Linked DNA regions of Arabidopsis thaliana. The protein of the gene in region 2 purifies or fractionates together with the protein of the main gene of each other region. This does not show direct contact. Each region holds a gene or a part of one and is shown on either strand. Other genes may lie near its edges.

Region 1 (6,039 bases), on a different chromosome or scaffold from region 2:
CATAATTAACTGACCCGCCTCAGGCAATTCAGGGAAAATGTAAAACGCATGAAACATGTTTGGATATTCGATTAACGTTGCTTTTTTACCGCATAACTTTAACCACTCGTAGTAACTTCTCTGCCAATCTTTTAACGGATCAAACCCAGCTACTACCACCATCGTCTCCGGATAATCCAGACCCGATATATCAACCGCGTTTGGTCCGCCGACGTTAACCGCTTCATGATCCCGGTTTAATCCCATCGCTTTCCAGCACCAATCTGTTCGGTCCGGTGAAACCAAAGGAGCTCCGACGAGTTGTTTCTCCGCTTCCGTTCTCTCTTCTCCGCCGAAGAAAGGTTGAATCGAGATAAGTCCGATGAGTTTCACGGCGGTGAAAGATGACCGCGGCTCGCGACAAATTCGAATCGCGACGTTGTGCGCGATGTTTCCACCTGCACTGTCTCCGGCGAAGAAGCATCTCGAGAGATCAGCGTTCGCCGGAAGAATCGAACCGTGATTCTCCTCGATGTACTTCAAAGCATCGAAACCGTCGTCGTATTGAGCAGGATAACGATGCTCCGGAGCGAGACGGTAGTTAACGGAGATGACATAAGCAGGTAATTTCCTAGCGAATCTCCGGCATACATTATCGTAAGGATACGCATTAGGACTGAGGAAAGCGAAACCACCGCCGTGGAAGAAAACAACGACGGGGATTTTATCGCCGGAGACATGTGGAGTGTACAATCGGAACCAGAGATCACGGGATTGATCCACGACGAAATCGGAGGTGGAGACGATGTTGACGGGTTTAGGATTGGGAGGAGCACGGAAATCGAAGAGGCGGAGGAAACGGCGGTTGATAGTTCCGTCAGGACGTTGAGCGTTATCGGTCATGGTGGAGATAACGGTGAGAGCGATTCTTGTTTTTAACGGAAGCGTTAGCTTTTGGTTTGGTTGAGAATCTGTCGCCATTTTTTTTTTTTCCTCTCTGTGAAGAAAAGATGATGATTAATGGATTTGGTGGAAGAGTACAGTGAATTTGTAAGCTGTTATTACTTCGTCTATATAGGCTAAGAAATATTCTGCCAGCTGTAATTTTCTATGTTTTTATTGACGTTTATAGTTAGAACAACTAATGAAAATAATCGTTTCAAGGAAACACGTAAACGTAAAAATAGAAAAAAATCTCAAATATTTTGGATTTGGCTTAAGGTTTAAGTCACTAGTTTTCTTCTACTACAGTGTTGAATGTCGATGAAGTCATGTCACATGGCCAACGCAATGGAGTCACATAAGAGCAAGTAGATTCAATCAATGTACATGTTGCAGGAGGCAAGTAATTTCTAATGTCAGAAACCTGCATCAACTAATTTTCAATCTCATTCAATTCTTCTCTATGTTAGATTCAACAGTGGTCATGGGTAAATTTGTAAAAACAAACTTTGAATGATTACAGCGGTCCAAACAGACAAAACCGTTTATAGACCGGACCGCTTTTTATTTACCATTCATAAATTATAATCCGTAATAGTACATACTTAAAAAAAATAGAAGACAACCGCATCGGACTAACTGCGGACAGTCTTTAAACTAAGTCCGCATCGGTTTGTTGTCCGACCCAAAAATGGTATGGACTAAACCGCTACGGATTAGTCCGCACTAACTACAACATCCATTCAAAGCAAAAAGCAAAACAAGAACGAATTTACACCATCATGATTTAGATACACGATATAATCCAGGCATATTTAATCCCGTAGTTACCTTCCAAGTTCAAACCATATAAAAATGTGAACTTCTAACACATCGGAATACAAAAAATTTGGTCTCTAATAATACATCAACAGTGCATCTCTAGTAAAGAAAAGAAAACAGAGCATATATCGTCTCATCCCAATTAATTAAAATCGTTAATACCTAATTAGTTAGTGACTTATAATTTTTTTGGCCAAATTGCGAATGCGGTGTCGTTTTAATGTTTGAAGACATGAGAGGTTTTAGGGTTTATCTTTTTTACACTCACAATCAAAATACTGACGACTTCTTCGCCACCGTGGTTAACGCTGCCTGCACCGTCGGCGGAAAACAAAAAAGCTTCAACTCCATTGGTTTCCTCTTCCTCGATCTCTCGATTAATTCTCAGAGGCAAGCTTCTTCTATTAGACCAAACTTGTTTTCGCATCCTAATTGTCAATTTCGGCGATATCATTTCTAATCATCAATTTTCTCCCTTTTCGAATTAGATCGGAATTATGTATAAATTTTTTGGTTGCGTATCTTTGACGTGAAAAAACCCTAATTTAGGTGGCTTTCCGCAGTTGAAAACCCTCGAAATTGGCCCTGCCATTTTCAATTTCTTTGATTTGGATTCTTCATGCTTTCCGTTTCTCGTTGTTTTTTTTGTTAGAAGAAAGACGTGAATTTGTTGTGATGTAATTTTTAGGATTATTCTCAAAGAGAGTAGCAGCTATGGGCTGGAAAGCTGCTGAGAAACTCATCAGACACTGGAAGATACTTCGAGGAGACAATGTGAGTACACCACTCATGTTCTTCTTGTGGTGTTCATTAGTTTGGTTTCATTTTTGATCTGTTGTTTCTGGGGTATGATTTTATGTGCAGGTAATGATAATTCGTGGGAAAGATAAGGGTGAGACTGGAACCATAAAGCGTGTCATTCGATCCCAAAATCGTGTCATCGTTGAAGGGAAGAATCTGGTGAGATAGTCTTGTTCTGGATATCTTTTGTTCGCTCTGTCTCATGCATTTAGAGAATGAATGTACAAGTTCATTTTTTGATTTTTTTGTTCTTGATTTGGTTTGTAGAGTATGAACTAGTACTGAATCAATATCATATCACTAGCTCAACACCAACCATAGAGTTATCAATTTTCATTTGATTCTCATTTTTTTAATCCAAGCATCAAGTAGACGGTTACTAAATCACAAAGCGACTCTAGTTCCATGGATTTCGCTACACAATTCTTTTGAATTGTTTATCTTGAAACTGTTATCGTTTTGGATGTTCTACCTTGCTGCTGGGATAGTCTTTGTCTACTCACTGAAGCTTGTATATGTTTTTCGCTGATGCTTTTTTTTTCCTGTGTTCTCAGATCAAGAAACATATAAAGGGAGGCCCTGATCACGAAGGTGGAATTTTCACTGTAGAGGCTCCTCTTCACGCCTCAAATGTCCAAGTTGTTGATCCTGTCACTGGGTATGATTTCACTCTGCACTACTGTCTCCAATTACTCTTTTGCTCAAGCGAGAGATCACTTATTAATCTATTATCTTTTCTACCACAGGAGGCCTTGTAAGGTTGGTGTAAAATACCTAGAAGATGGAACAAAAGTAAGAGTAGCCAGAGGCACTGGCACATCTGGTTCCATAATTCCCCGACCAGAGATTCTAAAGATAAGGGCAACGCCGCGACCCACAACTGGTACATAGAAGCTCAATATCTCTTTAAACGTTGGATTTTGGAAATATATAGTGGAAGTCTGTTAGCTATCTGAGAAAAAAACATAATCATAGATCGGCTATAAGATAAACATAGAATCAACATAATTCGTTTGCTATCAACATAATCAACAAACTTGATAGTAGCGGTTTTCTTATAGAAGGATTCATACTTTTCTCTTTGCAGCTGGCCCTAAGGACACACCAATGGAGTTTGTCTGGGAGCAGACATATGATGCTAAAACTGGAAAGGGCATGCCTGATCTTTGAGTTGAAACCTCTCTACAGTTTCGTTTGGAAAATGTTGCCTGCTCTCAAAAAGGATTCTTCTTTTTCCCATCCATTAGAGTTTGATTTCGGTCTAGAGCTGTGAGGTTTTGTTGGAGAACCTTTGATCATGACTGAAACGGAGTCGTTTTCCTTTTTTCTTTCATTGATCTTGTGAACTTTCAAGGTGCCAAATAAAATCCGTCTGGAAAACAGTTCAATATTTACATGTTTAGTTATTGTATATACACTAGCCAGAAGTCTAAACATAAAACGAAAACTATAAGCTCTAAGTAAAGTAGATTTATATTATGCAACCGAATTAACAATATTAACACAATGACATGATTTGCATTGTAATGAAATTTAAAATTTTGACAAAAAAAATATGGAAATTCAAATTGGTTATTAACTTTTATTTTTGGGGATGATTTGGAAATTTGGTGAATTATTGGTTACAATAAATAAAAGGAAATATTGAAGGACTTATATGTAATTAGTGTCGCCTAATCGAGTAATTCGATCCATCTTCGTCTGTCTTGTTAACAAAGAAAACTGAGAAAGGTTTTCTTATAAGATCCCATTCTTGTAGCAAAAACCCAGAAGAACAAACTTTCGAAGAAGACGACTAATCAATTCATCTGATTATGGAGAGACTACAGAGAATCTTCGGAGCTGGTGGCGGTTTAGGTCACGCATCGCCTGATTCTCCGACTCTCGATACATCGGAGCAGGTTTACATCTCTTCTCTCGCTCTCCTCAAGATGCTTAAGCACGGTAATCAATCCAAACCCAAGCTCTAATTTAGTCTTCTCTTGCTTAGGGTTTTATGATTTTGTCTCGTTCTCTGTGATTTTACTCTCGTCCTCTTTTGCTCTGGAACTCTAGGGTTTTATTCGATCTGTTTCTGAGATTCAAAATGCGGATTTGAGTAGAGATTTAATGAAAATTGATCGGAATATTGCAGGAAGAGCTGGTGTTCCTATGGAAGTCATGGGATTGATGCTTGGAGAGTTTGTGGATGAATACACTGTTAGGGTTGTGGATGTTTTTGCGATGCCTCAGAGTGGTACTGGTGTTAGTGTTGAAGCTGTTGATCATGTTTTCCAGACTAATATGCTCGACATGCTTAAACAGACCGGAAGGTAACTAGTTCTTCTCTAAACCTATTTACTACGCTTAAGTGAGGTTTCCTATTTAGGTTTTGGATCTGATTCTTCTTGTATCTTGTTTCAGACCTGAGATGGTGGTTGGTTGGTATCATTCACATCCTGGATTCGGCTGCTGGCTTTCTGGGGTTGACATTAATACTCAACAGGTAGAGTTTTGTTTGCTCTGTTTGCATACTTATCAATTTGTGAATTGCACTTGAGAATTTGTTGTTTGCTTTATTGATGGCTCAAAAAACTAAATAGAATGTTACTCATTGTGTTCTATACCCTGTTGTGATTCACTTTGTATTATATATGTTCATTGTGAATATCTGTGTGCTTTTGTAGAGTTTTGAAGCTTTGAATCAGCGAGCTGTAGCAGTGGTGGTAGATCCGATTCAGAGTGTGAAAGGAAAGGTGGTGATTGATGCGTTCCGCTCCATAAATCCACAGACCATTATGCTTGGGCAGGAACCCCGTCAAACAACATCGAACCTTGGGCACTTGAACAAACCATCGATCCAGGTGATTATCACTAACTGAATGTGTCCTGTTTTTAAGTTGAAACGAAATCAAAGGTTTTCTCTGATACTGACTTTTGGATACTACTATGCAGGCTTTGATTCACGGGTTGAACAGACACTATTACTCAATAGCAATCAACTATAGGAAGAACGAGCTTGAGGAGAAGATGTTACTCAACCTCCACAAGAAGAAATGGACAGATGGTCTGACGCTAAGACGCTTTGACACCCACTCCAAGACCAACGAACAGACGGTCCAGGTAAAGAAACACAGGGTTATGTTTTTATCTGTTCAAGCATATTCTACAATCATGTTCATTGACATTTTCATTATCTCCTGTTTAACAGGAGATGTTGAGCTTGGCTGCTAAATATAACAAGGCGGTTCAAGAGGAGGACGAGTTGTCACCAGAGAAGCTGGCAATTGTGAATGTGGGAAGACAAGATGCAAAGAAGCATCTGGAAGAACATGTCTCGAACCTCATGTCATCCAACATTGTTCAGACACTAGGCACTATGCTCGACACTGTTGTCTTCTAGAGAGCTTACTTCTCCAGCCGCTTCAAGTCATTGAGCTTTGTTCTTCTGCATCTCTTTGGCTTCTACTGAATGTTCTCTTTTTATCTGCTAGCTTTTTACAAGGTTGTACTGTA
Region 2 (5,833 bases):
TTTACCTATATTAATTTTACCAATTCAAATTATATAATTTTCCAATCAAGCAAAAGTAGTGACTTTATCACATTTTTCAAGCCAAAAACATCAACGCATTATCATTTCTTGGCTCGAGAACTCTGAATCATCCAAAACATTCTTCAATGTGTGCTTTATCACAACTTCCAAACCAAAACATCAACGTATTATCACTTTCTTGGATAAGTGCCAATCAAAACCTAATTCACTAGCTGGAGAACTCTAAAAATATCAAACCTTCCATGAAAATCTCCAAACCAGTAAAGCCACACAACAAGATGAACTCTTGAAATCATACAGATACTTTTAAAGATTGAAGATGGAACCGATTAATATGAATGAATGTCACTGAGTCTTACACACACCATTGTACAAAATAAAAGCCCTAATGTATCCTAATTCAAAGTCTCCAGCTTTCTCTGGGAGACATTTGATCAAACACGTCTGAATATGAACTAAAATTCACCAAGATAAATGGCCAATAACCGCAAAAAAGTAGTCTTTCCTTGAACCCTAGAAGCGATATATCACACAAAAGCTCTACGTACCAGTAAAATTGCTATCAAGATTTAGAAAATCAGCGTTCATCTTCCTTCCTCTTGCCGGTGACCTTACTCTGTCGAATAACAATATCCTGAAGATTCGTCAATGCACCTTTAGCTCTCAACTTGGCCGTTTTAGCTGCTATGATCTTCTTAAGAGCTTCTTCCTTTAACAGAGCCACCGCTTTATTCATATTAGCCACCGAGATATTTCCAGCTGCGACAAGAGCCATTGCCGATTTCGGAGTGAGAGGCGTTTCATCGGGGACGTCTTCATTGACTCGAGATTTGGGGAAGAAGGTGAAATTGGGGTTAGAACATGGCTGGCATGTGAAGGAAGAAGCTGGTGGTGGAGCGGAGGAGGAGGAAGATGCGGCGGAGGAAGACGGCGGCTGAGTTGAGCAAGAAAGGTGGGTGCTTGATGGGCAATTGACGCAGATGATACGAGCTTGTGGAGGAACGGCGTTGTCGAAGAGATTGAAACAAACAGAGCAAAAGTGTTCTCGGTACTCTTTGAGCAAACAATCGGTGCAGAGTCGCCGGAAAGCGCCGGTTTTGATGACGGTGTGGATGAACGACGGCTCTTTTTCACGGCAGACTATGCATTCGCGCTGTTTCTGTTCCGGATTCATGGCTAAGTCAACGAGATTGAGAACTCTCTCCCTCAACGGTAACCCTAAGCGAGAGAGAGAGAGAGAAAGATGAAAGAAGCGTTTGTGTTGTTCTCAGAATGTTGAAGATCTTGGGCTTGAAGAGACTTCAACGTATAATTCTATTGGGAGCTGAAAAAACTTATATAGAAGATTAAAAATTGGGTCTTGATTCTTGTTGAATTAAAAACAGAATCTTTTATTTTTTGTTAATACGAAGTGTATATATTTGGAAGATGAAAGGAAACATAATAATCTTGTGTTTTCCTCATTGCTTATTGCAAACTCTTAAGCATTGTGATATAACAAATGCGAGCAAGCCTAAATTCCTCTATTTAATCGTTTTCAAATCATACATCCAAACAACTAAAATAAGAAAAAGACAAATTCATCTGCAAAAAGCTTTAGCTCTGTGATTCCTTCACTTCCACAGCTTCTTTCTGGTCTCTAATCATTGTAAAAGCCCAAATAAAGATCAAGATCATGCTGTTTTCATCACTCTGCCAACATAAATGGGTCAACTTCTCCAAGATCTGCAACCAACGGTTCTAATTCTGATGGATCTTCATCTTCTGGAGCTAAGTAAGTTGGAAACGGAAGCTTTGAGATGTCTGGTTTCTTGCACCATGCATCTTTTATGAACACAAAGTTTCCTTCTGCACCAGGAACCTGCAACAACACCAAATCACAATCATGACCTACTAATAAGAGAAGAGAAATGGAGCTCATGTTTTGTGACAGACAGATCCTAGCCAAAGACTGGAACTGGGATTGAGATACTTACTTGTCCTCTCACCCACATGAGGTTCCTCGCAGGATCGATCTTGTAGACCCAAACGTTCTTTACTGTCCTCTGATCTGCACCCATTCTCCCAGCCATCTTTCTGCCCTTGAACACCTACTCAAGTGTATTTATCAAGTCAGTAGTGTCATTTGCTTTGGAGAAAAATTCCCAAGAATCTTAGCAATTTGACACATACCTTTCCAGGAGCATCTCTTTGCCCTGTGGAACCCCCGCTTCGATGGGACAATGAAGCACCATGTGATGCCGGCATTCCACTGAAACCATGTCTTTTCATGCATCCCTGCAAATTACACAGCAAAAGACATCAATAACACAGCCATTACTTTGCACAAACACTATTTCATCCGCACTCCATTCTATATATCTGCCACATTGTCACTAGACTATTCAACTTATCATCGCAAAGAAAAGATAAAACTTTAGAGCCCCTGAGAATGGTTTCACCTGAAAACCTTTTCCTCGAGTGATCCCAGTGACATCAACGTACTGTCCCGGAACAAAATGGCGGACACCGAGTGAAGTACCAACAGGAAGAAGAGCGTCTTCAGTCACAGGAAATTCCCTCAACTTCCTCTTTAACGGCACACCTTGTGCTCTGAAATGCCCCACCACAGCTTTTGACAAATGCTTCGGTTTCTTTTGCCCACATCCGATCTAACTAACAGAACAACACATGCCAATCAAATTACTAAACCATGAGCTTCATAAACCCACACATAAAGTTACAGCAATCGATTGATTGATCAAGTAACCACTAAGAGCCCTATCAATAAATCCAGGAGATACAAACTACATGGCCAAAATGGGAATGAGTAAACTGCGATGGAGTTACCTGTAACGCAAAAATGCCTTCTTTCTCAACAGTTTTAACCTGAGAGACGATATTATCATCAACCCAAAGAATAGAAATCGGAATCCTCTTTCCCCATTTGTCCCAGAGCGCAGTCATCCCACACTTAACCGCGATGATCCCAGTCCTCTTGGATCTACTAGACATCTCACCTTGTTTCGCCTCAATGATTCGGGTCTGAGCCCCGATAATATCAGATCCACCACCGTCCATCAACCCAGTATCGGAGCTGAATCGTCGGATGAGAAAGAAGCTACTACAATGAGGAAGAGATTCAGAGGATGAAGGAGTTATAGACCGTATTGATAGAAACTGATTGATTCGAGAAAGGAGGCCTCTCGGTACGGCCGCCATGATTTCGAATCGAAGCGACCTTCAATGGCTAAAGTCTAAACGAAGAAGGAGAGAGATGCAGAAACCAGAACTCTCAAGGCTTTTGCGTAGGGTTTTAGATGGGCGACAAAATGATAACCAAAGCCTCTATCTCAGAAAGAGAGTCTCAATATTATTTATTTCCCTCTTTTTATAATATGTGGACGATAATAAAAACAAAATCCTACGTGGCTTATCCATTGCGACATATAAAACAAAAACAAAACGGTACATGAAAATTTTGCCTCAATTTTCAAAATCAATCTCAAATTCTCAAATGTCTGTGATTCGTCCTTCTCCGATTCCAATTCCGAGATGCAGATCTCAGGTACTGCATCGTCGTCTTTATTCGATTCAATTGATTCAGCGACGACGTCGACGGTGGAATCCGAGGTCGGAGGTGGAGGATACTGCGATTGAATCGACGGCTCGGTCTCCGGAGGCAGCGGGAGGGAAAATGGTGGTGGAGCTTGTTGGAGCTTTCAACGAAGTAACGGAGAGGATGAATTCGGTTTGGTTGTCGACGTCTTCGTCTAGGTTACTCTTTAAAGCTCTCAAGCTCTCGATTCCGATTTTACAGTCTCTTCCTCTTGCCTCTGATGGTCGCTCTCCTCTTTCTAAGGCTCTCTCACTCTCTATCATTCTCGCAGATCTCCAGGTTTACTCTCGATCCTTGCATTTTTCACAGTTTCTTGTTTAGATGAATTAGGTTTTGTTGTTGATTCTGTGACGAAATTGAAGCATTAAGTTAGAACTAGAATCTGAGATTAAGTGAGTTCTGTGACATTGTTATTTGAAAAGCTCTATCAATTGATATTTGATAAATTATGTGGTAATGGTAGATGGATGCAGAAGTTATCTCGGCGAGTATATTGAGTGAGGTGGTGGACGCGAATGCGATATCTATATATGAAGTTAGAGACCATATTGGTACTGGAACTGCTCATCTGCTTCATGAGATTTTTCGTGTGAAGAATATTCCTTTTAAAGTTGATGTGTTAGACGATGAAACTGCTGCTTCATTGAGAAAGTTCTATTTAACCTACTATGACATCAGAGCTGTGATTATGGATTTGGTTTCAAAGCTTGATGAGATGAGGCATTTGGATCACTTGCCAAGGTATCGCCAGCAGATTCTCTCTCTTGAAGTGTTGAAGATTTATTCTCCTTTAGCTCATGCGGTGGGGGCTAATCACCTGTCACTTGAGCTCGAGGACATCTCTTTCCGTTATCTTTTTCCGTGTTCGTATATATACTTAGATTCATGGTTAAGAGGTCACGAGAACGGGTCTAAACCGTTGATAGACGTGTACAAAGAGCAGCTTCATCGGTCTTTGAAGGATGATTTGGTTTTGGCTGAAATGGTGAATGATGTATATATTAAAGGTCGGTATAAAAGTCGGTACAGCATGATGAAGAAGCTCCTAAGAGATGGGCGTAAACCGGAAGAAGTGAACGATGTGCTTGGTCTACGGGTCATATTAATGCCTAATTCTGTAGTAAACGATGTTGAAGTTGGCGAAAAAGCCTGTTACAGAACAAGTGAGATTATCCGGTCTTTGTGGAAGGAGATTCCGCATAGAACAAAAGACTACATTGCTAGGCCAAAGGAAAATGGGTATAGGAGTTTACACATGGCAGTTGATGTTAGCGACAGCGATCAGATAAGACCTTTGATGGAGATACAAATACGGACAATGGATATGGATGGATCCGCTAATGCTGGAACAGCATCACATTCTTTGTATAAAGGCGGTCTAACCGACCCAAAAGAGGTAAGCACTTCTGTGATTTTTTAGTTTGGCAAATTTAGGAGGTTGAGTTGTTTGTTTAAATTCATGTTTAGGCGAAGCGGCTTAAAGCGATAATGTTGGCAGCAGCGGATCTTGCAGCGATTCGTCTCAAAGATATCTCATCAAATAAACACCAAAGCTTCAAGACAACAACGAACCAGAGAGACAGAGTGTTTTGCCTTCTGGACAAAAACGGGGACGGAATGATCAGCATAGAGGAACTAATGGAAGTGATGGAAGAGCTTGGAGCTCCAGGTGAAGACGCAGAGGAGATGATGCAGCTTCTTGACTCTAACAGCGATGGATCTCTTAGTTCAGACGAATTCGATACGTTTCAGAAACAAGTCCGTTTATTTTTGTTTTCTAACATAAATTTTTCTTCCTCTCTTTTATTTTATAAGTGACTTACTGATGAGGTGTGTGGTTTGTGTTTTGCAGGTAGAGTTCATGCGTAAATGGGAAGATAGAGATAACGAGTACAAGAGTCTTTTAGACGAGAAGCTTCATGATCTTCCACATCAAGATACCACAGGTTTGATACAGTTATACAATAAAGAGCTTGAGGATCGTCTCTCAACCCATTAAAATATCAAACCATTTTTCTACATTCTAATATTGTGTATATATGTATTCCTAATTAATTAATTATCTGTTGACAAAAATATGTATTTCAATCACACACATTCAATTTTACCATACATTTATTTATCATAACAAACTGCTTGTTAATTCTATAGACTACTCCCATCTTATTGATTAAGGAAAAATTAATCCTTTTCAAATTAGAGATACTAAACATT
Region 3 (5,455 bases), on a different chromosome or scaffold from region 2:
GGATTGATCTGTGTGATCATTAACCGAAAACTTTCATTCGTTGGTGTCTGAGTTAGCAATCTCTTGGGGTTTTTCCTCTTTCAGAGGCCTGTTGATGGACTTGCTGGTGCGCAACAAGATTTGAGAAGTTTTAGCCTTGTATTTGAGTACATAAAAGCTTTGCCTGTAAGTACTCCCAACTTAATGTCTACTTACTGAAGATTATCACCTGAAAGAACGGAAAAAAAAAACAGATACATCATCAGCTTCCTGCATTTTTGTCTGCAGGCGGGTCAAGAAACAGACTTTATTCTGGTATCGTGTACTGGTTCGGGAGTAGAAGCCAACAGAAGGGAGCAAGTGTTGAAAGCTAAGAGGGTAAGTCCATTTTGTCTTACACATCATAATAACTCTTGAATCTTTCGAGGCTATGGATTGTCAGGGCTTTTGTGCCAGTAGGTTCCATCTTTTCACATCTCTATCTCCTTCTCTCTTGATGTCCGCTAAATTTGTTAGGCTGGTGAAGATTCTTTAAGGAGATCAGGCCTTGGATACACAATCATTCGTCCTGGTCCCTTGAAGGTAATGTTCTTTGAGCTCCAGCCATATTGTATATATATGGCTCTGAATACATATTTTCTGATATAGGAGGAACCAGGCGGGCAACGAGCTCTGATATTTGATCAAGGAAACAGAATTTCTCAGGTTATTTCAATCACGAAAAACAAACTCAAGCCACCTAGCAAAAGTTCTCTGATGGAGCCACTTATAACTTCCCAATGCGCTATTTTCTTTCAATTTCAGGGCATTAGTTGCGCGGATGTGGCTGATATATGTGTCAAGGCACTGCACGATTCAACCGCCAGAAACAAAAGCTTTGATGTGAGTTGCAGTTTATAGAGAAACAACTGAGAAAGAATCAATCTTTGACCCTTTTCAAGAACCAAAACTAAGAAAGATTCAATCTTTGATCTATAAAGAAGAAATCACATCATGGATCTCTCAAATTTCTTCCATTTGGTTTTTACAGGTTTGCCATGAATACGTTGCTGAGCAAGGAATAGAACTCTATGAGCTGGTAAAAGAGTAAACAATCACTTGCAATAAGAGTCACATCTACATCATTACATCATCTGATAGTGTTTGTCTCTTTCAGGTGGCTCATTTGCCAGACAAGGCGAACAACTATCTGACTCCGGCTTTATCTGTACTTGAGAAGAACACATGAGAAGAAGAATCATTGATTCCATTTTGTATATTGTACACATCTCAAGCTCTGATACGCATTACATGCATATATACATACGTACATGTATAACTTGTACATACAAGAATCTCTTTGGTCTCTTTATGTCCATTACCATTTATTTCTTATATTCAACTTAAAATTTGTGTGCTAATACAAACAATCCAAGGCCACCAACATAATAAAAAGGGTGTGAAACCCAGTTTTCTATTACACAAAACTCATAATATTTTGAATGATAAACATAAAAAGTATCTTCATTCATTATAAGTAAACATTGAAACTTCAGAAGATCTCAGACTTTGTCTTATTTATCTCAGATAGTCATGAAGGCGTACGACACAAACCCATCAAAGCTTGGAGAAAGGTTTGGCGAGAGAGCTGAAAAACGAAGATGTCGGAGAAACAAACGGCAACTTTCCGGAGCTTTCTTTTGACTTGCTCTCATCTTCTTCCTCTCCGTCAATGGCTTCTTTCTCAGCATCGTCCACTATCTGCTCCGTCAAAAGTAAATTCACAAGTCAGCCAAAAAAGAGTCCAAATTAGTTTACCCGGTGGACCAATTGTTTTTAAAACTAAACCTTTTCGGTGACGGCAGGAGAAACAGACGGAACAATAACAGCGAGCTGAGTTTTAATCCGGTGCAACGCGTCTTTCGTCATACCCTGCGCCGCTCCGGCGAAATCCTTAATGGCTCCTTCCAAAAACTGTTTAGCGTTTTCAAGCGACTCAGATGGAACCGAAGCAGCCGATAGTTTTTCTAACACTTTATCCTTAACCGCCGCAAGATTCTTCAGCCCCAACATGATCGTCTTCCTCTGCTTCTCTCCTTCTTCTTCCTCTGATGAGGAATCCACGGAATCAGGGTTCGTTGCGATTTTGATCGCGTGGTCAGGAGAGTAGAGGTTCCCTTGGCCCACGTTTTCGTCGGATTCTGGAGAGATTTTGATCGCGTGGTTTGGAGAATATAGCTTCCCCTGGCCCACATCGTCCGACACTGCTTCGCCGTTGTATTTTGTGGCGGATATTCGGTGATGATTTTCCATTACTACTACAAGATTTTGACAGTTGAAAACTTGAAATTCTTTCTTTTTTTGGTTTTTTCTGTGTGATGGGTCGAGAAGAACAGAGCAAAGCCACTTAAATTCTGTTTCCGGAAAAGTAATAATGGTTCTGTTTTTGTTTGTTTCCCGGGAAAATGAAGCAGAGTTGGAAAGCTTGTGACACGTGGTAATGACATGGCAACACGTGTCCTCTGTCGGGAGTTACTGGATGGGATAGTGGGCTTTGTTTAGTTTGTGATGTTATATAATAAAGGCCCAGTAGATGGAGAATTGGTTTTAATAATTGTGTGACCGGATTTGTCTACGACCCGACCCGATCGACCCGGAATTGAAACAGAAGGGGGATACACAGAGGCGGCGTTAGAAGAAGGAAATGGAGTTACAGTATTAGTGAGAGAAGGACGAAGAATAGATAGAGGAGGAAGAAGAATAAAGAGAAAAGATGAACAAGAAGGAGATCTTCAAGCTAGCGAAGGGTTTCAGAGGAAGAGCTAAGAATTGTATAAGAATTGCGAGGGAAAGAGTCGAGAAAGCTCTGCAGTACTCTTACAGAGATAGGCGCAACAAGAAACGTGAGATGAGAGGTCTCTGGATCGAGCGCATCAACGCCGGTTCTCGTCAGCACGGTGTACGTTTTCCCCCCAATATTGATTAGATTTTTGCCTATTTGCTTCCCGTCACTGCTAATTGCATTGATTCGATAAATCATGATTAGTTTATAAATAAAACTTCTGAGATATTGGTTGGTTTATTTTTGCAATCTATGATGAGTTTCTTTTAGGATGGAGCTTGGGATTTAGGGTTTTCTTTTGTTAAATTTGGGTGCTTGATTTCTCCAGAGTCTGTGGTTGCTAGTATAACAAGTTCTAGTTTGATGTTTCAAACAGAACTTGATGGATTACATTATAGTCTTAACTTTTTTGCTGTATTCTAGAGATTTTTCTTATGCAGTGGCACTCTATGTTTGCATCTACCTAGTGATAGAGTTAAAACTTGTTGGTTATAACTAGAAGCGAAAGAATTAGATTGAATAGTTGAATTAAAGTGCATTTTAGATTAGCTTATTTTCTTCAGATTTTACTGTTGTATCTTTGATCAATTTGGAGCTTTCCAATATCTGAGTTTGAGATATTTATCCAATGGAGATTTTGGATGTGAATGTTTAATTTGAAACTCAAATATGCTTAAAGAAGTGAATCATTTCGGATTGATTAGAGGAAAAACACATTTCATGTCAATAGTTTTGATCTAACTGAAACAATGATTACTTCCTAATTCAAGTAGAGAAACATATTTTTCTAACTCGGTTACCTCGTTTTAGCTTTGTAACAAGCTAAATATATGCTATTATAATACTCTGTTTCTTTTGAATAAGATGGAAATGACATGTTTGATTGGAATCCTAACATCTAAAACTTGAAACAGGTGAACTACGGGAACTTCATCCATGGACTGATGAAGGAGAACATCCAGCTGAACCGCAAAGTCCTCTCTGAGTTATCTATGCATGAACCTTACAGTTTCAAAGCACTTGTGGATGTCTCCCGCAAGTCGTTCCCTGGAAACAAGAACGTGGTCCAAGCATCTCGGAAAGTAGACATTTCATCCATCAATGCCTAGTTAGGACCAAGTTAGTTTAATCTTGTCCTTCTTATGAACACGGAATATTTAGTTATTTGTCAGAATAACATGTACCCCGGTGATATTACTATACTTTTGCAATTTGAGAGAATGTATTTCGTCTTCTTTATTTCGTTGAGCAGATCTAAATCCATTTATTTGTTTATTAGTTTGAGAAAATAAGATTGAATCACCTAAATAATCATAGATCTAAACCCTAGGATCGGAACAGTATTTGCTTTAATCACATCATTGTGAATCAATGCCTTGCTACGGAAGAAACAAATATCGGAACCGTGAATCAAAAGGAACTATGCCGCATTTGCTACTAGATGAACCCAGAAAACCCCACCATTGTCGCCTGTGAATACACTGCTCAACAAATGCAGCTTGGCGAGGAGGCAAATGACGAGAAATCCACAGAGCAACCTTGCAGTCATCGACAGATTTCTTGGCGAAACAGTGAAGCATTTGGGGCACAATCAACTTTCCCCTTGGGCTCACTCCCACTGACGCCTGGATATAATCTTTCTGAGCTTCTTCAAGTTCTTCTCCTACGTTCTCGGCTGAGTATATTCTCACCTGCAAGCAATTTCTGTGAGAAATTTGCAATATCGGTTCAAGAATCTGATGTAAAATGCAGATAGATATGGAAATATTACCGCAGGAGATGAGTGCATCCCGCAGCTGAGAGCAAATGACACTAGAGGTTCCGGTGTACTTATCCCCGCTTGTCTCTGTTCGTCTGATACTTTCAGCTTGAGAATGGAGAGAAGCAGAGCCTGAATATCCCGGTTTAGGTAAGAGTTATAGAGTAGAAAGTGAAGAGATTGCAGAAAATAAAGAAGGTGAGTTTAGTACAATTTGAGGACGATGCAGAGGAGGGCTCATCTTTAAAGTCATGTATTCGATCGTTGCTGCGTTGTATGAATGGCCACCAACTGTATAAGCAGCCTGATAGAATCTCCAAATCAGAGACTTATACTAACCTCTCTCCGAACCAAACCAAGAAGAGTTAAGTAGTTTTTTTGTGTGGAGATCAAACCTTTTGCATCAAGGAGAAGAGCTTTAAGTCAGTTTTTGGTACGCCGTAAGCCAAGTATGCCTGAATCAGACAATCAGGAAATTGTAAGTTTTGTTGTATCTGCAAATCTAAGTTTAGAGAAATTCCAAAGACTTTATTACATGCATGATCATGGCATTGTATATGTTGATCCAGAAGGCAAGCTTCTCGTTGTGGCTTAGTTCTGCTGGATTTACTCTGGCAAGTCTTTCAACGAGGTTCCTGTATTGAAAATACCACATAAGAGTTTGTCAAGTTCCAAGGACCATAACTTCAGAAGTTGCTTGAACTGTGTGTTAATACCTGAATCTCCATAACTCATCTGAAGCATATCCGAGCCTTTTCTCCTCAACAGACATTGAAGCCACTTCAGTTGCAGATCTGTAACTCCCGATGTCAGCCCAGCTCAGCTTTCCTTGGACTGTATAAAGATCAAACACATCGCTCTCTGTGGCTAAAACATCTGAGTTCTTCTGAATATCG
Region 4 (6,362 bases), on a different chromosome or scaffold from region 2:
ATGCAGCTAAGGAATGGACTCGTCTTTACGCAAGTGGTGCTTAAAGAAGACTGCAAATGGAGAAAGATCATTGTCATTTAAATAACATTATATATGGTGAAACTCTATCTCAAGGTTTTATCTGAATCCTTTTTCTGAAAACAGAGGAAAAAGATTTGTACTCTCTGAATTTGTATAACTAGGGGGATCTAAGACTCGTTTACCCATATCTGGAATCTAACTTTCTTCAATTGTGCTTGCTTTTGATCTTTGTTTTTGTTATATATGCTCTATAATAATCTTTATAAAGTGGTGTAGATAATCAGATTTTCACAGGTTGTGAATCAAAGTAAATTGGATGAATGATGCATAATGTTACTATTACAGGTGTATGAAGCAGCTTATTTTGGTCAAATGTAAAAAAAAAAAAAAGTGGTAAAAATAGTAGTCACGAGGAATGAGACTTGAGATTTTGAAAAATGGGCATAATCAGAAACTTGACTCGTCAGTTGATGGACGCCTCAAGAAGTACCTCAGACTATTAGCAAGGACCTACAAATACAAAATTTGATTTCATTTCAGTAAAAACATTTCAACTTATCAAAGAGAAAAGTCTAATTTCAGAATTTTAACCTGCTGGAGAGGCTTGATTAGGGCTTTGTTCCTGTAGCTTACATGAAACTTCACCTTAGCCAACAAACCCTTTTTGTTTCACATACAACAAGAAGAAGCAACATGAGAAACAGAGCGATATTATAGCGGAGGGTATATGTTTTAGACATTAAAAAACAGGATTATTAGATACCTCGGTGTCGAATTCTCCAGATTCAACAGCGACGCTGATATCTGAAATGATCTTCACCAGCTCAACTAATAGTCCAGGTCTATCCGCTGATTCTATGAAGAGTAAACTGCATCATCAACAAATAATTATGGATCAATGATCAGATCATATATCATAAGAATAAAAGCATTTGGATAAGGTTCTAGAGTTGAGATAAGGTATGGGTATACATTACCTGCGGTCTGGTCCATCATCTTCAATGGTTATATGTGTTGCTATGTCCACGTCAATCTGTCAACATCCCAATCCAAAATACAGAAGAAGGAAAATGAATTTTGAAGCTACTTTGAAGTTGCGTGGGTATTCCCTTCTTCATCAAAGTGATTAATACTATAATGAAGTTTAATACTTGTACTCTACATTGACCCGCCAAATCCAAATATGTTGATTATTAGTTAAGTCTTTGTTTTCTCTATTATTGTTTCTTATCTGTACGTGACCGAGGAAACGACAAGCAGTCTTGACCTTTATGTTCGAGGATGCTAACTACTTGAAGAATTAGTGCAATACAAAAGAAGTGGATAAGGTTATAAAAAGAGCATCACAGTTTAAGGTTTTTACCGGTTCAGTTGGAGGAAGAACACCAAAAGCTGCTCCCATTGCCAACTGAGAACTTGATTCCTGATCCAAATCATCGAGAAGCAATGTGTGAGTTAAAAAATTATGCAAGATATAGGAAAAATAGAAAGAGAGGATATTAGGATGTGAAGTAGTTACAGGATGAAACTCAAGCAGATTGTTTATGACTGTGAGACGAATGGCCTCAAGCAATTCAGGGTCTTCTACTTTTCTTCCACTATCTCTGTTGTAACAACAATTACAGTCAGCTCAAAACTCAATCTAAAGTCAACTATTTGACAGAGTCAATCGATTCAAAGCAACATTAACTATCTAAACGACTCTTGGAGCTCAAAATACTCTTTGATGATATGAAAAGACATACGCTCTAGTAATGGCAAATTTGTTGTGCTTGCCGGAAGAATCAAGGTAAACATTTGCCTTGACGACATTCAATCCCAAGTTTTTGAGCGCATTCATCTAGAAGGGCAAAGTTGATCAGATCAAGAAGCAGTCAAAAAAGCAGGAAAGGAAGTAAGAAGCTTTTGTGAATGTTGGTCGATTATGCAGAGCTAGCAACAAGTGAGTAAGAAGAAGGTATCCTTCCTTACAGTGTCAAGTAAAGCTCCAAGACGATCTCCGAATGTAACTTCAAGAACGGTTGCATCAGGGTCAGAATCTTGGTCGATTATAACAACTGGAGTTGGAACTTTATCAGAATCAGCAGCACTTCCTTCTTGCTTTCCATTCTTCAAAATCAAAAACAAAAACATATAAACTTTAAAAAGTCTATTCAAATTACTAGTGTCCTTGTGTAATCATTTCATTTTCATACCTCCACAGCAGTAGCATTTGATGCTCTAATCTTCAAAGTGGATAATCTGAAGAAAAAAAAAAAAAAGAATTGAATTGAAGTATTTGAATCCGTAGAAGATCAGCTCAAAACAATCTGTGCTTTGAATCGAATTCCAGCAAAAGATACGAATTTATAACCAGCAATAAAATCATTTGGACATTTTAAAAAGATTAGCAACTCGGAACACAAAATTCTGATAATCGTTAAAAAAAGGTATCAGATGCTTTTTAAGGATTTAGAGATCTGTGGAGAAAATTCACTACAAAAGAATTTGTTTCGGAAACAGTATTTACTTCATGAAACTCGAATCAGCACAAAACTAAGATCACAATCGAAAAAGCAATCCAAAAGAAGCTCGAATTCAAATTCTCAAGAAGGCATCAAGAGATAGCCAAAAAACAAAAACCTTAATCGCTCGAGATTGACAAGAGGTTTATCGACAAATCCAAACGTAACTGTCCTAGGAGGCAAGCAAAGAGCTCCACAATCGCGTCTTAAAGCAAGAGAGCTAGAAGCATCAGTGAAGCAAAGAGCAGAACCAGAAGCAGAGGCCATAGCCATCACTCAAAAATCGGAATTAAGAAGAATGAGGAAAACGTTAGAGAGGAGTAGTAGTAGTGATGACGAAGAAGAAGAAGAGCCTTTGGACAGGTCTCGTGTTATCCGCCATGAGAGGATAATAAAAAAGATGTGACACACACACACAAAAAAAAAATGCCCGTTTCGTCCTTCTTATTATCTTCAACGTTAGATCGCCATTTCTCTTGCTTTCCCTTTCCTTGCCTACTTTTACATTTTCTTTTTAAATTCCACCAAATATTGTCTTCTTTTAAAATTTAAAAAAGTACACAATTCGACAAATTCTTCACATTCCTATTGGCCCCGATTTTATCGGATGTGACATGCTATTGGTCAGTGTTTTACCGACTAGTTAAAACATTAGGTGGCGCTAAAACAAATAACTAGGTTAAATGGAACATGACGTCATCCTTTATAAGTAATGGCCTTTATGGCCCAAACTTTCATCTCAAACGCTTCAGCCCACTGTTTAATGGGCCTAACGCTAAAGTGATCATCATATCGAAAATTACAAGTTTGCCACTTTCTCGCTGCTTCATCCCTCTCGTTGGTTCGTCAGATTTGCGTCCAAATCCCTCCCTAAAACCTTGAGTCAGACTCAAGAGATACGAACCAGAGAAATGTGGAAGTACGGTTTAAGAATCGCCGCCGGGAATGCCAAATTGAATCGGAAGTCTTCGATTCTAAATAATACCGTTTGTCATTTCTCACCTCCGACTTCAGCCGCCGTGGGAACACTTTTCCCGAGTTTAGATCACGTTCATCGATGCTTTTCATCTTCGAAGAGCACGAAATCTTCAATCACCAAAACGAAGAAATCTGAAGGCAAAAAATCCAAACCTAAAGGCGGCGATCCTGGTGCCGCCGGAGCTGAGGAAGGAGAGTTTGGAGCCGCCGGTGGAGACGACCTTGAAGCGGGTCGTGCCAAGAGACTAGCTGATGATGAGAAGATTCCGTCTCTAGATGTTGGTCCTAATGGAAGGCCTCTCTTTACTCCCAAAGATACTACACTATCGCAGCTGACTCACAAGGATATTGGCTCCTACTTCAAATTCGAGTAATCTCAATTCTCTCTTTCCCTTATGTTTCTGTTTATCTATTTTTAGAATTTTGTATGAATCGTTTTGTGTGTGTTGATGTAATATATATATTGTGGGAATGATAGTGAGGCAGCACTGAAAGCAGTTCTGCCGGAAGGATTAGCTTCAGGAATTGAAGATGAGTTTAATGAATCATGGAGACCTGCATTGCTTGTCAGAAAAAGTTACTTGGCTCTGAGGGATAATTTTAGACGCATTGCTGATCCTCCCATGTGGCCAAGTGACAGTAAAGGTGTGTTCTTTGTTTCCGTTATGTTGATTTCTAAGTATCACGATTAGTGATCTCTTCTATGGTTAACAGTTTTGTGTGTTTTTATTTTCCTTTGAAACGAAAGCAGCCTAATTTGTTTGCTAAGTCTTGCTTGTCATATGCCCTTATCCGGGGATCTGTAATACCATAGGTATTTATAATCATTGCTTCCTCTTTCTTTCTGAAAAGGTGTCAAACTTCAGAAGCAGATTGTCTTGGATGGCCCTGTTAAGTGTGGAAAGAGTATTGCTCTGGCGATGCTTGTTCACTGGGCACGTGACGAAGGCTGGTTAGTTTTATATGCACCAAAAGGACGTGACTGGACTCACGGTGGCTACTTCTATAAGAATCCACATACAGGGTTTTGGGACACTCCTCTACAAGCTGAGAATATTCTCAAGGCAAGATTCCACATGCCTCCTCTTTTGGAATGGAATTCTTCCTATTTAACAGCATTTCTTAATAAACTTAACTTCTGTAGGATTTTGTCAAGTTCAATGAATCCCGCTTAAGAGAGTTACGGTGCAAAATCCATGATCCTATCGTGCTTGGAGAGGGTGCGGGTGTTGGATACTTGAAAGGAGCAGATGCTATGCCTATTCCCGAGGATTCAACTCTGTATGACCTTGTGCAAATGGGAATTAAGAGCACTCATGCAGCTGTTAATGTCGTTGTGCGACTTAGAAAAGAACTCTCAGTTGTAAAAGATGTACCAGTGTTGATTGTAATCGATCAAGTTAGTCCCCAGTTTTCCCCTTTATGATACCATATTTCGCCTTCTATTATTTTAAATCTCTCTCTTTTTCACTAGAGCTAATGCTGCTTGTTTCTTGTTGTTTACTTGTCTTTCAGTATAACAGTTGGTTTACATTCAGCGAGTTTGAAGAGCCCGTAACACCGCGTTCTTGCCGACCTATACATGCCAGAGAACTTACAACGGTGAATTTTTCTTCCAAATTGATTTATGATCCAGAAAACAAAAATCGCAATTAACTCAATTCTTTTGGCAGGTGAATGCTTTCAGAAGCATGATGCATGAAGATATGATGGTGGGTGCATTCTCACATTCAACAGCAGTAGGAAAACTACGCAAAGACTTGCCAGATGTTCCAGTTGATGCTCGTCAGCAATTCCCACGTTATTCTTTGGATGAAGCAGAAGCTGTCTGCTATTACTACCTTCGGTGAGTTAACATGAAACCAATTTTAATAGTACTCAGCTCTGTAATCCTCCTCTCAACTGATCAGACCCGTTTTTTAGTTATAGTTCATTATTGAGTCTATCTACTTGACATGTGTATGGGCCTAAACCGAATATCGATTTCACGAACGTTCAATATGGTATTGTTTCAGGCAAAGACTAGTTCGGCGTGAAGTATTCAACGAAGAAAACTGGAAGAAGATATACTATCTGGCAAATGGAAATGGAGCAGAGATGCGTTGGTTAGCCCCTTTCATGCGTTGAGGAACAATATACAAACAAACAAAATAGATTGTGATCTTGATTTGTCGCCTTTTCTGGTGTTTTAAGTTATCCCGTTAGTTTGGGAGAGAAACTCTTTTCATTGACCTTTCTGAATTAAAGGAAGATTTTTGTTGTTTGAGTTTGTAGTTTTAGGTTTCCTTGTTGTCTGTAAAACACTGGTTTTTGGACCTAAATTTCTTTCTAATAAAATCAGTGCCTCTCATTTATTATCGCTCGAGTTGATAACAATGTTATGCAAAAATAAAAAGTTGTGAAAGAGTGAAAGAATCACTCACAAAACAGGCAATTGATGGGAAGAAATTGCGGAACTGCATATTTATTGTGCGGAGTTATGATTACACCAAAACCATATAGCATAGAAGATAGCCAAATAGGTTTAAAAAGAACACCAAATTGATGTTTGTTTTCACAAAAAGGAAAAATTTAGACATAACATAACACATTGAGAAAAGTACACAAGTTCTATTGAAAAAGAATAGACATGAAGAGCTATACAAACCAAAAGGCGAAGAAGAAGAATGAGAAGAAAAAACAATTAGCTCATCTTAGGAAAATGAAACCACACCCTCCAAGCATCACCATCCTAACCGTAATAACTCGGAGACCCAAAAGAAAAATTTTAATGAGAATTAAAAGGAAAGAAAATAACACTACAACCACCACCAAACGAACCCACCAGCAAGATCACATTTTTTCCAGATTCATGAAAAA

The links.
Region 1: the proteins of RPL3P (region 2) and AT5G23535 fractionate together in Arabidopsis thaliana (co-fractionation; one large-scale study listed by BioGRID). This does not show direct contact.
Region 3: the proteins of RPL3P (region 2) and AT1G16740 fractionate together in Arabidopsis thaliana (co-fractionation; one large-scale study listed by BioGRID). This does not show direct contact.
Region 4: the proteins of RPL3P (region 2) and AT1G16870 fractionate together in Arabidopsis thaliana (co-fractionation; one large-scale study listed by BioGRID). This does not show direct contact.

Annotation. Positions count from the first base shown.
Region 1 is NC_003076.8:7,933,414-7,939,452, forward strand, and holds AT5G23535 (KOW domain-containing protein), read left to right. Parts: upstream 1-1,902; 5' UTR 1,903-2,133; intron 2,134-2,383; exon of another isoform or gene 2,384-2,431; 5' UTR 2,432-2,457; coding exon 2,458-2,517; intron 2,518-2,607; coding exon 2,608-2,703; intron 2,704-3,098; coding exon 3,099-3,202; intron 3,203-3,290; coding exon 3,291-3,427; intron 3,428-3,631; coding exon 3,632-3,714; 3' UTR 3,715-3,992; downstream 3,993-6,039. Other genes in the region: CXE18 (carboxyesterase 18), read right to left, coding at 1-960; AT5G23540 (Mov34/MPN/PAD-1 family protein), read left to right, coding at 4,359-4,488, 4,679-4,856, 4,948-5,029, 5,211-5,387, 5,479-5,646, 5,735-5,926.
Region 2 is NC_003074.8:5,976,351-5,982,183, forward strand, and holds RPL3P (ribosomal protein L3 plastid), read right to left. Parts: upstream 3,345-5,833; 5' UTR 3,223-3,344; coding exon 2,851-3,222; intron 2,673-2,850; coding exon 2,463-2,672; intron 2,299-2,462; coding exon 2,194-2,298; intron 2,112-2,193; coding exon 1,998-2,111; intron 1,883-1,997; coding exon 1,709-1,882; 3' UTR 1,372-1,708; downstream 1-1,371. Other genes in the region: AT3G17460 (PHD finger family protein), read right to left, coding at 599-1,195; CRSH (Ca2+-activated RelA/spot-like protein), read left to right, coding at 3,473-3,898, 4,083-5,015, 5,087-5,377, 5,472-5,618.
Region 3 is NC_003070.9:5,725,042-5,730,496, forward strand, and holds AT1G16740 (Ribosomal protein L20), read left to right. Parts: upstream 1-2,580; 5' UTR 2,581-2,731; coding exon 2,732-2,917; intron 2,918-3,714; coding exon 3,715-3,909; 3' UTR 3,910-4,074; downstream 4,075-5,455. Other genes in the region: HCF173 (high chlorophyll fluorescence phenotype 173), read left to right, coding at 85-165, 268-357, 496-561, 628-861, 1,010-1,057, 1,136-1,207; UP6 (uncharacterized protein), read right to left, coding at 1,576-1,719, 1,807-2,271; AT1G16750 (GPI-anchored adhesin-like protein, putative (Protein of unknown function, DUF547)), read right to left, coding at 4,180-4,491, 4,572-4,691, 4,771-4,863, 4,955-5,014, 5,095-5,194, 5,276-5,455.
Region 4 is NC_003070.9:5,770,232-5,776,593, reverse strand, and holds AT1G16870 (mitochondrial 28S ribosomal protein S29-like protein), read left to right. Parts: upstream 1-3,271; 5' UTR 3,272-3,436; coding exon 3,437-3,873; intron 3,874-3,981; coding exon 3,982-4,148; intron 4,149-4,355; coding exon 4,356-4,567; intron 4,568-4,647; coding exon 4,648-4,902; intron 4,903-5,018; coding exon 5,019-5,105; intron 5,106-5,176; coding exon 5,177-5,349; intron 5,350-5,518; coding exon 5,519-5,630; 3' UTR 5,631-5,862; downstream 5,863-6,362. Other genes in the region: UBC36 (ubiquitin-conjugating enzyme 36), read left to right, coding at 7-44; ACR11 (uridylyltransferase-like protein), read right to left, coding at 469-531, 613-681, 785-890, 999-1,054, 1,385-1,444, 1,541-1,625, 1,767-1,861, 1,993-2,130 and 2 more.